2 linked regions of the Danio rerio genome follow. The protein of the gene in region 2 interacts with the protein of the main gene of each other region in a biochemical or structural test. Links are inferred from orthologs where the notes say so. Each region holds a gene or a part of one and is shown on either strand. Other genes may lie near its edges.

Region 1 (7,768 bases), on a different chromosome or scaffold from region 2:
TTAGTGATGATCCTGCGGGTAATTCCACCATCTTCATCATCTGTGATGTCCTCCCCACGAAAGTCAAACAATTCCACCTGCAACAAACAAGTGGACACATTAATACAGAAACTGTGCTAGCAAAAATCCAAGGTTTTTACACTAATTCCAAAGCCAAATTTAAGCACTTTTCAGGAGCATTTTCAAACATAAAGTGCAAATGACATTTACATATACTTAATGATATTAAATCAGCTGCTAATCGTTATTGTACACTATAGTGTAGTATTCCAAGAAAAATGTTAAATGGTGTGTTCACCCCAAGCCCAATATTGAATTAGTGTCATTTACTTGTACACGTTTTACACTCTTTTACACTTTATTAGGTACACCTGTCCAACTGTCGTTAACGCAAATTTCTAATCAGCCAATCACATGGCAGCAACTCAATGCATTTAGGCATGAAGACATGGGCTGTTTCTCAATTCCAAGAACGCAGAGAATGGACTTGCGATCTTGTGGAGACCGGTCTTGACAGGTATCCTCGGAAGAACGAACTCGGGAGACCGCGAGGGCAGAAAACGCGTCCTTTGAGAAATGGGATGCTGCGTTCTTCCTGATGGTCACGTGACCTTCACTCGTTTTAAATGTAAATCATTTAAACATTACAGCACTCATACAACGATTTATTGTTTTCCCTTCTCTTCAAAATATATACTTTGCATAAAAACATTATAAATATACTCTGCACAATATAAATAAAACAAATTTTAATACGAATTTCAGCAAACAAACACCCTTAATGTGTTTATTCCTTTTTTAAGATATTCATGTTAATGTTTACTTTCACCGTTTCATTTAGGAAAACTCCTGAGGTAAATAAGTGATATCTCTGAACTTTAATAATAAATCTAAATTAAATGCTGCGCTTCCCACCTCCAGTCGCAATGACTTCTGGGACTTCCAGAGCGAGTTCGGTGCTCAAGTCTGCATCAGTGCGTCCTCGATATCAAGATCACATCCGGGAAGTTTCACGCGTCCTCCGTACTTGCGGCCTTGACGTTGCACGAGAACACGAGGACGCAAGACCGCTGAAGAACGCATATTGAGAAACAGCCATGGTCAAGACGATCTGCTGCAGTTCCAACAGCATCAGAATGGGGAACAAAGATTTTGACTTTGAACACGGCATGTTTGTTGGTGCCAGTTGGGCTGGTCTGAGTATTTCAGAAACTGCTGATCTACAGGGATTTTCATGCACAACCAGACAGGTAGCAGCAGCAGTTCGGGGGGTGCAAATGCATTGTTAATGCCAGAAGTCAGAGTAGAATGGCCAGACTGATCATGGATGTGTTGCCGACAAATCTGTAGCAACTACGTGATGCTATCATGTCAATATGAACCAAAATCTCTGAGGAATATTTCCAGTATCTTGTTGAATCTATGCCACGAATAATTAAGGCAGTTCTGAAAGCAAAAAGGGGTCCAATCCTGTACTAGTAAGTGTACCTAATAAAGTGGCCGGCAAGTGTAAGTTAAATGTCAAATTTAAAATTTCCAAAAGCGCAGACAAAAAAAAAAAAAAGAAAAGGAAAGAGACTTATTTTTATTTAAGTACTTCATCATTATTCCATATTACGTAAGAAATTGTTTCAATTACATTTTCAAGCACTTTATCCAAGACCTTAAAAACAGCAGATCCAAATTCAAGCATATTTTTTAAGGATTTCCCGCACCAGTACAAACATTGACAATCTCAGCAGTCTATTACATTACCTGGAACAGAAGAGTAGCATTAGGAGGGATTTTTGGGGGGCTGCCAGCAGCTCCGTATGCATACTCAGGTTTGCATGTCAATTGGCAGATCTCGCCAATCTTCATTGTAGCCACACCGATGTCCCATGCTTTGATCACCTGACCTGCGAGATGGAGCAAATAATTGTCTAAAATTGTTGACTTGGATGCGCAATGATGTTTTGCTTGCATTTACAAATGCATCTGTTCCTATGCCCTGCAGTTTTCTGCCCTTATCTCGAACACAGGCTTGGATTTGTATTCGCCTCAATCTAATCGACAAGTAAAAATATATATAATACCTGCTACATTTCTAGATATATCTTTTATTTTACTTTCAATTCTATCATCACAAATCAGGTATTTCATCTAAAGCAATTTTAAGTAACATAATATTAAGAAATGTCTAAGATGTTTTCATGTTTACAACAAGATAAGAGACATTGAGAATACACCCTTGTGGTTTATTATTTAAGCTTCTGCTATTCATGAAAAAGAAACAAGAAGCTAAATGAAACTACAGAGGTTGCCGAGTACATTAAACATCAAGATGAACAGGTTAATCTGATCACATTCTTACAAACTCATAGTTTCAGGGGAAATGTTGTTTACAGTTTTAAAGTGTGTCAGAAGCTTTACGGCTGTGACATTATAGTTGTGTGTTTAGGCGCACAACATAAAGACAGACAGGTTAGTTAGTCAAGATTATCATCAAGTACGTTTACATGGACACCAATAATCTTATTAATACGATTAAGACAATACTCTGATTAAGAGTCTACCATGTAAACAGCGATTTGATTCATTTAATCTAATTAAGGTCATAATCGATCCAAACAGAAATCGAATTTAGACGTGGAGTATGCTGATTTTAGTCGAACTGAACTTCAACTCTGAAAACTGGACTGACACAGTTTCAATCTACTACAACTTCTATGTTAAGCTGCTTTGACTCAGCCTACATTGTAAAAGCGCTACAGAAATAAAGATGGATTCAATTCATCTAATTCACCTAGACTCTGTTTAAGAGTCAGCGAGGGCGAACTACCATTTAGCGCACTTCACCCTTACTCACCTTTGCCCAGCTCAAAGGAGAACTTTTCCCCTCGATCACGGCTGGAGTCGAACTGTGAGCCATCAAGCAGTGTTCCGACATAGTGCACAAATACTTTATCACCAATCATAGGCAACTCGGTGCCAGTACCCTCCTTCTTGACCAACTGTGGAAGAGAGAAAGAGATTCATCTTCAATCTGTTGGGCACACTGCACTACACCTGTGACCTGTCAATCTTCAAAGACCGCAGGGCAGAAAGATGTTCACGCCTAATGCTTAGGTTAATGACTTTATACACAAATAACTCTTATATGTTTGTAATAATCGAATAGTTTAAGCATACACAGAGCCATATTCCACACAATAATCACACAATAAATAAAATTATTAAGTTATTTAGGTGAATTCTTCTTGAATGAGTTGCACCGAAAGCGTTTAATTATCCCAAACAAGTAATTCCTGTATTTGTATCTGATAACACCAACCTGAGGTTTCCAGAGATTACATGCTTTGATTGCTACTGATTTTAATCACATAAGTTACATGTGTCACTTGTATATTAAACAGAAGCGGCACAAAACTTTGTTTAATTAACATTGCAAACCAAAAGAATTGTAATACTAAAAATAAATAGGAAGATTCACCTAAAAATAAGATTTGTCACATTTGCTAACTTTAACGTTGTTTATAAAACTGAATGGTTGTGCTTTTGTTTACAAAACAATATATTTACCAGTCACCATTCGTTTTAGTAACGTTAGCATACAACAATGCATAATGAAAGTGAACGGTGACCCGCGGCTGTCAGACGCTAATGTCTCCTTTTGTGTTTACATTACAAGGTAAATCATATAGGTTTATGAACACATTGAGACGAAATGAATCAGATCAGAAATATTATAATTTCTGAAGCGAATTCTCTCTTTAGGCGCGGTAGAAAGATCTAGAAAACGCAGCACAATTAGCAACAGGCGTTGTTTATTAATACATACTGTTAAAATAGTCACATTTAAATGCACAACAACAGCTATAGCAGTAGTAAAAGTGCATTAATAGACAGACATATCGTCTGTAACATGCTTTTTAGTCAGTCACACCTCCCACATGGAGTCAATGCGGCTCAATGCCCTGCAGTATTTACCTTTAAAACCCCTCCATCTTTCTTCGGGGTAATGTCTTCACCCTCGATGGGGATGCTACAACCTTCATTCGCCACCTCCTCTGCAGTCATCGTCGCTTTAATATAGGTATCACCTTCAAAATACCACCAAAATACAGACTGAGTCTCCTCGCCGAGGTCTTTCCTTCAACAGCTAACGTGCAGAAATCACTGAAGACTCGACGTCTGCAGGGCTAAACGGCTTTAATTTCGGTATTAGGAGTGGATTTGCTAAGCTATCGCGCGATTGTGGCAGTCAGCGGCCGATAAATGTGGTTTTTGGGAACGCGCAGGGACTCCGCGAGGCGTTTATATAACGATCGGGCCGCCGCTGGAAACTGAATCGACTCAGCGAACTTTCCAGAGCTGCGCGAGAGCGAGGAGACGGCAAAGTCTAGAACTGACTGCAGCGTGAGGGACCGTCGCAAAATTCTAAACCCAGTCATTAGCGGAGAAAGGGATATGCGAGTTTGTGATACAATCAGATTGTAGAGAAATCCAAATGTCGTAATCAACACTCCTATTACAATATGACTATTCTATTTTCCACATTTTCATTTGAATTGTAAAAACTGATACCGTTTTAGCAGTGTATATTTAATAAAAAGGAAAATATCTGTTAGCATTTACATAAAGCTTTATATATATATATATATATATATATATATATATATATATATATATATATATATATATATATATATATATATATATATATATATATATATATATATATATTACCTTCTAACTGTAAAATCTCCCATACTGACATCATATATATGGGGCGTCTGCATATTTAATAACTGAATAACTGACAGTGCACGTTCATTGAAAAGTAAGAATGATTAATAAATCCATATGAAACAGTCCCTTAAAAGTGACACACTCAGGCGCACTTTGCACTCACACTACAAGTGTAACTGCCTAAGCTGTCATGTTATTGTTGATGTTGCTCGGATTACTTGAAAAGTCCCCATTAGATCATAACCTGCTTTGGATAAACACTTCAGCTATATTATTTAATTTAAGTGTATGAAAGCACATATTTTAGTCTATATAATTTTATTAGTTTTCCCAGAGATGGGTTGTGGCTGGAAGGGCATCCGATGTGTAAAAACTTGCTGGATAAGTTGGCGGTTCATTCTGCGGTGGCGACCCCGGATTAATAAAGGGACTAAGCCAACAAGAAAATGAATGAATGAATAATTCTATTCGCTTGTTAAGTGGTGACGTGTTGGTGCCGTATGTAATACTTTTTCCGGGTCCACTCATTTGAATTGACAAAATATTTGTTTATGATCACTTTTTATTCTTATTATACATTAAAGTGAATTTTATATAAAGTTATGGTGTACACAACAGTCTCTGGGCTTGCTGCATCCCAAATTCCAAAATTTTAACAATTTATAAAAAAAAAAACGAATCACTTTCTGCCCATCGGATATTAGGCATGGATCTATATATTGCGATCATGATTTTCGCAAGTATTACAGCGCTTTGAAAATGTTTATCATTACCCTTTCATGAGTCTCCTCATACAGTTTGATAAAGTGATTTGACCTGGAAGCCGCTTCGCATGACGACATCACACTTAACAAGCGGAGACAGGGAGATGATAGATAGATAGATAGATAGATAGATAGATAGATAGATAGATAGATAGATAGATAGATAATACTAGCCTGCATTATAATACATAGTTTGTAAGTTATAATAATAAAGTTTACACTGAATCTTATAATCTATGTTGTTAATGTTGCTATATGCAAATATTTAAACATCAAGGAAATTGCATGCACATAAAAACCACTAATACAAAAACTGAAAACATTTCAGTGGCATACAGTTCACTAGAAGCGCTTGACCCAGGTTACTGACAAATAAAAGTTTTTCCACATACGTCTACATTTACCCAATTAAAATACATTAAAACCGAAGAAAATACAACAAAAGTATTACTGATAAACAAAACATCACAGTTGTATTAAAAATTATTGAAAAATAAACATGAATCATTAAAAAAAAAAAAATCATCCGTTTTCGTTTTTCACAAAAGAGTGAACTTTAATGATGGTTCCTATCCTCTAAGAAGTTTTCCCTCGTGTTCATTGGCTGAGGCAGAAGACTGGCGCGTTTGTTCGAGGAAGTTTACACTGTCAGAACGTGTTTTGGTTTGTTGTGTAGTTACCTGTTAATTCTGTTTGCTATTTGCGATTTCATTGGGATTATACGGTAGATTTTTATCATAACTGAAGTCATATTTTGATGATACCATGAGGAGTTTATTGTCGGCGTAAAAAGCGCTCATATGCAGTGTTGATTTTCGTGTTATTCGGCCTTTAACGTTATTTAGGAATCTAATCTAATGCCACATATATAAAATGGAGAGCAAAAGTGGCCGGTTTCCTTTCCCTTTCCAGCCGTATCCCATCCAGGAGAGCTTTATGGAGGCGCTTTACACCGCCCTGGATCAGCGTAAAGTCGGTATATTCGAGAGTCCCACAGGCACGGTGAGTCTCCACATGAGGTTATGGTTTCAGTTTACCCTCAGCTAAGGCACTGCAGGTAAACAGGGTTACAAATTGAATAATAGTTATCACTATACTTAGATTGTTGAACATTATTTGTATTACACGTTTTCGACTCGTCAGTATCTTCATATTTCATTAAATGTGCTCTAATGTGCAAACATTTTTAGCACAAACATCTGAATATTCGATTAAGTCGGGTTTAAAGTTCATGTTTTTTTATTTCAGTCAATTTTGGGAAAGATACAAAAGGAATCTTGTTAACACAATGAGTATATAATCAAATTTAGCAAATTATATAGGCATACAGAATAAAACTGTACAATGTGTTGTGACTATGTAAGTGCTGATGAAGTGGAGATATATGCTCAGCAGGGGCGATTTTAGGATATTCATTTTTGCATCATATGCTTTTTTCCTGACCTTGAAAATATAATCGGCTGAATCGTCGAAAAAGCCGAATTAAGATCAAGATTTAAAGTGGACTGAGGCGATAATTTAGTGTACAGTTCATGAGCTAATCGCAAAAAAATGTTGGGGTGCAGAGTAGCTACAGCCCCCCTAAAATAGGCTTAGTGGCTCCCATGATGCTCAATGCATTAGAAAAAAACACACATTTTGATAAAACTGTATTTAAATAAAAATGTATAGACATAACTAAAAAACATAAAATGCAACAAAGGAAACACCTAAAAGTGTATTTTGGATGTTTTTTTTTTTTACATCTAAATCTGGTCATTGGATGAAAAAACAGTGTTTCACCTGCAGTGTCTCTCCTAAGATGGCAGTGGATGTTTGATCTATATTGTGTTTGATTCTGCAGGGAAAGTCTCTGAGCCTCATCTGTGGAGCTTTGACGTGGCTGAGAGACTATGAGGAGCAGAGGAAACAGGAGGCTGCTAGACTTCTGGAAGGACAGAAGGACAGTGATGTTGTGAAGGAGAAGAACAGCAATAGCGGACCACCAGAGCCAGACTGGGTGTCTGAGTTTGTGCAGAAGAAAGCAGAGAGGGACATGGTGAACAAGTTAAAGGTATCAGAACTATCAAACCAAGCTCACAAGCAGTCAAAGTACTGCTATCCACTTGTTATGTCTTGACGTATGGAATACTGTTTCTGGGTCCAAGCCGCTATTCATTTAAATTGAGAACATTTTTGTTTATGACCACTTGTAGTCATATCACACATCAAAGTGAATTTATTGTAAAATTATGGTGAACACAACCAATATTTTAGCAATTTATTAAAATTTG
Region 2 (7,039 bases):
AGAATTTTATTGCAATGGCCTGGTTGGGCCAATGGAGTTAGAAAAAAAATGTAATGTAGTTATTTCTTAACCACATTTTAATGTGTCAAAAAAAGAAAGCTCTAGTTGTATAAACACCCTTTTTCAACTTTTTTCAACATTATGATTATAATTTTTTTAAATGACAAGTTTAACATTGTTAAAAGTATATCTGTTATGAAAAGAATTACATGAATAATCAAAAAGTATATTTGTTTGTCTTTGGTCCAAATGAATTAAGCATAACCTCTATTTAACCTAATGCGTTTCTGTTATAAAACCTTCAGTTTCATGCCTATTTATAAATATAATGTCCACTCACCCTTGGATAATCACGTGAAGGGATATATAGCAATATGAATACAATTTCGACTTCATATTTCTATTTGGAAGGAACTTATAATGTTAGATCAATTGGGATGATTCTGCAGTGTGAATGGATCTCCATAAAATCTAATAAACAATCTGTAAAATGTTTGGGGTCCCCCAACACATTTTCATTGTTGTCTGTGGTACTTGCAGTGCATTTCTGTATTTGCATGTGATGTGATGTGAGTATTTTCATGCATATGTTTAGTCATATATTGATGAATTATTGTTTACTATTTGCATCTCCATAAATTCTAATAAACAATCAACAAACTTTTTGAGGTCCCCCAAAACCTTTTCATTGTGGTCTGTGCATTTCTTTATTTGCATGTGTATTTTCATATAAATACAATTTTAAAAAAGATACAATTGAAAAAATAAAGAGTTTTATCATTTTCCTGATTTCTGAGTATTCAAGTACAGTAACTGAATGATACAATAATTCAATAAAATTAATTGTTATTAATGTTACAAACTGTACAATTTTTTATACCAGAAGGCTTTTAAAATCATTATACAATCACAGCATCGAAAAAACACACAGAAAATGATAAATTATAACACAAAATCAACATTGCATATGATGTGACTATAGCAAACGATCACATTGTGATATTGATGCTGAAAGGATATATATATATATATATATATATATATATATATATATATATATATATATATATATATATATATATATATATATATATATATATATATATATATATATACAGCCCTACTAGTAACTATAACTATTTACTCTGCATAGCATGCCCAACACTGGTTATCTTACCTTGAGGGAAGAGTCAATCTGATTCTTGATATTCTTGATAATATATCCCTCCACTCCTGCATGATGACTGGTTTTCAACATACCTCTGAAAAGTAGAGAAATCCTATACATCAGACAGTTAGACATCATAAAACTTATCTAAATATCGATGCTATTTAAACACTAGTCTGATAGTCCCAAGTGCAAGGTTCTAAATTCACATTGTAAAATATAAATCACATTTGATTAAATCAGTTAGAGCTGTTAATCGATTAATCACATCCAAAATAATAGTTTGTTTTTAAAAAATGGATGTGTACTCACTTTGTATTAATTAAAAAAATAATAATAATTATATAAAAAAAACACAAAACCAAATTAATTGTGTATATATATATATATATATATATATATATAAATATATATATATATATATATATATATATATATATATATATATATATATATATATATATTTATATATATATATTTATATATATATATATATATATATATATATATATATATATATATATATATATATATATATATATATATATATATATATATATATATACACACACACATATGTTTTTATTTTGGATGTGATTAATCTTTTGACAGCACTAATATAATCTATCAAAATAAACCTTGTCCAACATAAGAATGTATACCAGTGTTTACATTAGTATCAGTGTTTTGCTAAATTGGTGCATAAACTGGATAATCATATCAACATACTGTATATAAAAGCAAACCATGGTGCAGCCATTACTTGAAATTCTCCATGGTTTAACAATGGCACATTATTATATTGTTACCGGTCTCTCAATCGTGCAACACACAGGACTGAAAGCCTTTTTTGCACATTGCACATTTTACAGACACTTATGAACATTGCACATCTGCACATTCATGCACTTTCCACACCCACTGGACACTCTTGGACAGTTATGCACATCTGCACACAACCTGGATATATACTGTTGAAGTCAGAATTATTAGCCCCCCTTTGAATTATTTTTTCTTTTTTAAATATTTCCTAAATTATGTTTAACAGAGCAAGAAAATTTTCATAGTATGTCTGATAATATTTTTTTATTCTGGAGAAAGTCTTATTTGTTTAATTTCGGCTAGAATAAAAGCAGTTTAAAATTTTTTAAACACCCTTTTAAGGACAAAATTATTAGCCCCTTTACACTATTTTTTCCCGATAGTCTACAGAACAAACCATCATTATACAATAACTTGCCTAATTACCCTAACCTGCCTAGTTAACCTGATTAACCTAGTTAGGCCTTTAAATGTTACTTTAAGCTGTATAGAAGTGTCTTTAAAAAAATCTAGTTAAATATTATTTACTGTCATCATGGCAAAGATAAAATAAATCAGTTATTATGAAGGAGTTATTAAAACTATTATGTTTATAAATGTGTTGAAAAAATCTCTCCGTTAAACAGAAAATTGGGTAAAAAAAAAAATAAACAGGTGGGCTAATTATTCTGCCTTGAACTGTATTGTATAGTTCTAGTATACTCCATACAGATTAGCAGGCTTGACAAACCACTAGGGATGCTCTGATCAGGTTTTTTTTGCAGCTGATACAGTGTACCGATTCCTTGTCATGGTGATCGGTCGATACCTTGTACTGATTCTGATGCTTCAAGGCACTTTAAGTAACTTTGCCATTACATAAAGCACCTTTTTTTTCTCTAAGTACTTAAGTGGAGATCTCTCCTTACCTAAGATAATAAACAAAGGATGCTGCATATAATCCTATACATTATTATTACTGCCTATAATCGTAAAAATGTCTCTTATAACCATTTCATGTCGACAGAAGCACCTTTACAGAAAATAATAGATAACATGTGGGACACACGCGTACCTTCTGGGAGAGTTCATACGGTTGGACACAAGATGGGGTTGATTGCTCTGCTAGTATCACAGCTAGGCATGGGACGATAACCGTTTTCAAGGTATACCACGGTTTGAAGAAGTCAAGGTTTTAAAAATGCCAGAATTTTCTGCAATACCGTTCCTAAGGTATGTGTAAGATTTTTTTTTACTTTTTTGTTTTGTTTTTTAGGACAACAGTAACTCCAGCAAAAAATAAAAAATAAATAAATAAAAAAATAAAATAAAGCTGTAAATTAAATTGTAAAAAAAATAAATAAAATAAAATCGGTGTCTTCGGAACAAATGTAGACAACAGAGGTAAATTAATCTTTTGATTTATTTATACTGACAATTTACTGCTCCAAACTATTATAAATCTTTCAAAAGATAAAATATATTGGGGAAATTTTTTTTTGTTTTTTTACCCAGACATTTAAAAAGAAAATATTTTAGAGCATATTTGTAATCACAATACTGTTAAACTATGATAATTTTATCCAATGTTACCATACTGTCAGAATCTTATACCGGCCCATGTCTAATCACAGCAGCTCAAAACACTGGATATACAATGGTTACAACAAAGAGACTCTCACTAAAATGAATAAACAGAGGTCGCACCACATCTGTAAATATTTTAGCTGCTGTGAAGCATGCGCAGCGATCACTGTTGTAGTGCAGCTATCTGTTCAACCTAGGTGCGCACGTGCATCTTCCTCTCCTTGTAAACTCATGAACTAACACCCGTTATCCGAGATCAGCCAGATTGACGAGTACCGATTGAGTCATTAAATGTGATTATCAGCCATTGCCGATCTCCGGCCAATCAATTTGAAAATCCCTACAAACCACCAGTATAATACACTCATTCCTCTCTTATGCACCGGGCACTTTGTTAGAAACACTTCTGTTTCTGTTTGTACAGAAAAATCTTTTATATTTTTATACTATGTACTTTCTTTCTACAGCCACATCTGAAGTCTTTAAATATTTTATATTTGCTTTAATTTCTATTGCATTACATCTATTTCTTTATAATTTAGAATATTGTTGTTATTACTTTTATCATTTCATTATTGTTGTTATTATTTTAAGGTCACGAATGGTTGTGTAAGCATTTCTCTGTATATCACACTGTTTATGACTCTGTATGTCGCGTTGTTTTCTATCAAATAACAATATTGTGTTTTACCAAATAATAATAACATTTTCCAAACATCAGAATGAGGGCTTACCTGAAAAACTTGTATTTAGCTTCTGTGTTGAATTTGTCAATGCTCAGCTGAAACACTTTAAGGCCTTTAGTTCTCTGTGATAATGGTTTAAGCAGAGACCAATAAAAATTAACAATGAGAACACCAATGATATATTTCATTTTACCTCCACACACAACCTCATACTTACCAGAGTCTGGTCTGGACACATAGTCATAACTTTAACCAAGTTCTAAAGAGAAAACGGAGGGTTTATCAGTAACATTTAATATAAACACATGCATAACTGTTATGTTTATTCATTTTTACCTGTGGAACACTAAAAAATGTCTTTAGCTCCAAAAGATCTACTGGCAGACTGTTCTCTTCAACTCTTACAAGACTTTTTTCATACAGTTCCTGTGATTGAAGAATTACAGCAAAATTACAATGACAGGTAATTCACTACTTGACAAAGGTCTTGTCATCGATCACAGTTGTAAAAGCAACAAATAATAACTTGACTAAGTTGATCATGTGGAAAAGTGGCAGAAGGTAGATTTTTCAGATGAATCTTCTGTTGAACTGCATCCCAATCATCACAAATACTGCAGAAGACCTACTGGAACCCACATGGTCCCAAGATTCTCACAGAAATCAGTCAAGTTCGGTTAAGGAAAAATCATGGTTTAGGGTTACATTCGGTATAGGGGCATGCGAGAGATCTGCATGGCAACATCAACAGCTACCTCAGTTTCTCAGACTACTAATATAAGTAAAGTTTATTTATAAACTATTTTCGAGAGGAGCACATGCTCATGATTGATAGCACCTAGTCCACATTAGCTAACACACTGATTTACCAATCAGACGACTCCTTAACCACTATAAATAACCAGAGTATCTTACTTCAGCCATCTTCATCTTGAAGAATCCCCTCTTCCACCCCAACTCCTCCCATTTCCTTGTCAGGGCAGCATGGAGGCCTAGTGGTTAGCACCATGGCCGCACAGCAAGAATGTCACTGGCTCGGACACTTCCTGGCCAGGTCGGCATTTCAGTGCGGAGTTTGCATGTTCTCCTTGTGTTTGCGTGGGTTTCACCGGACTCTCCGGTTTCCTCCCACAGACCAAAAACATGTAACATAAGCAAATTGACAAATCTAAATTGACAGCATACACACCTCACAGCATTAATCTACTTCCAACATTATCAAGCAGGGGAGTTCTTGAGACCTAACTGAACTCGGACTCCCCTCTCGCCCTGCAACAGGAGGTAGCCCCGGGCTCAAGGATCTCACGAGTTCAGGGCTCTCTCCCGGAACAGTATGCCAAACTACAGTAGCTTCATTAATCAATCATCAGCTAAGGGCGAACTCTTGAAATCTGTGTGTCGTCAGCAAAGCAATGATAATTAATATCATATTTTTGTAGAATTTTTCCCAGAGGTAGCATATAAATGCTAAACAAAAGTGGCCCGAGTACCGAACCCAGGGGGACACCGTGACACAGACCAGTCCGCGATCTATGACCTCCCAAATAAATGAACTGTGATTGTTCAGTGAGGTAGGATATAAACCAACTTAGTGCTGTCCCGGCTAAGCCAACCCAGTTTCGAAGTCTGTCCAATAGTATGCTGTGAGAGATAGTGTCAAATGCTGCAGTTAGATCCAAGAGCACCAGAATACCACAAGCCCCAGAGTCAGCAATCATAAGGTCATTAGTGACCTTAACTAAAGCTGTTTCCACACTGTAACCCGATCTAAAGCCCGATTGAAATACATCAAATAAGGCATTTAGCTTAAGGTGGTTTTGCAGTTGACCCGCAACCACACGCTCAAGAACATACACAACATTAATTATTTCCGACTGCACCATGACTTTATATTCTATACTGTACATCAGTGTTTCTCAACTGGTGGTTCGCGACCCATTTTTAGTGGGTCACAGAGTGTGTGGTGAAAAAAAAAAAAAGTTTAAAAACATATTTTGCTTACACCGGACTTTTATTTTAAAATGCGCTCGCGACAACCCTACCGTTTGACATGTGAAATTTCATTTAATTAAAGCAATAAATATGCAAGATGAAAAGTATGGATTTACATATATTGACAACAAAAAACACTTCAAGCCTCGGTGTGCCATATGTAGTGAGGTGCTCTCACAATAGAGCATGAACTCTTTTAAACTAAAATGACATTTAGAAACCAGACAACAATATGTTTAATTAACAATTCAGTTTAGTTCATGATACTTTCATGAACTTTCCTTATTCTAACCACTGTTTACAGTATTTGTCGTTTTTACTTTGTATTATTTCTATAATTTGATACATTTTGTTATGACAACAATAAAATACGGTTTATTTGTAAATATTGGTAATTTTCTTATGATTTACTTATGTGTGCTAACAAATGAATGCGAATTAATTATAATTCCTAAATTTATAATATAGTTCCTTAAAATTTGGGTCACAGCTTGATGACCATGTAAAGATGTGGGTCCCATGGCCAAACCAGTTGAGAACCCCTGCTGTACATTATTTATGTTAAGTGACAAGACTTTTGTCAAAGCAAAGTCAGACTTTACTGTCCTAATTGAATAATTATAAATCAAAGCACGATCATTTTTTATTTTTTTTTGTAAAATATGCGCAATTTAAAGGCCTTTGCCTTTCATATTAGCCACTTCTGATCCAAAATGATCATCTAGATGTCAAGTTATTATTTGTTGTTGTTAAAACTTGGATAGGCGACAAGACTTGGTAATGTACATCAATTGGTGCCTAAATG

What was found. The genes of interacting proteins can lie anywhere in the genome.
Region 1: the proteins of glmna (region 2) and fkbp4 form a complex in vitro, tested with the Homo sapiens proteins (2 studies listed by BioGRID). The link is inferred for Danio rerio from reciprocal best matches to the Homo sapiens genes GLMN and FKBP4.

The regions. Positions count from the first base shown.
Region 1 is NC_133193.1:7,694,988-7,702,755, reverse strand, and holds the start of fkbp4 (peptidyl-prolyl cis-trans isomerase FKBP4), read right to left. Parts: upstream 4,356-7,768; 5' UTR 4,060-4,355; coding exon 3,970-4,059; intron 2,994-3,969; coding exon 2,849-2,993; intron 1,899-2,848; coding exon 1,756-1,898; intron 78-1,755; coding exon 1-77. UniProt on the Homo sapiens protein: Immunophilin protein with PPIase and co-chaperone activities. Component of steroid receptors heterocomplexes through interaction with heat-shock protein 90 (HSP90).
Region 2 is NC_133177.1:11,258,038-11,265,076, reverse strand, and holds part of glmna (glomulin, FKBP associated protein a), read right to left. Parts: intron 4,669-7,039; coding exon 4,579-4,668; intron 4,502-4,578; coding exon 4,460-4,501; intron 4,365-4,459; coding exon 4,291-4,364; intron 1,263-4,290; coding exon 1,178-1,262; intron 1-1,177.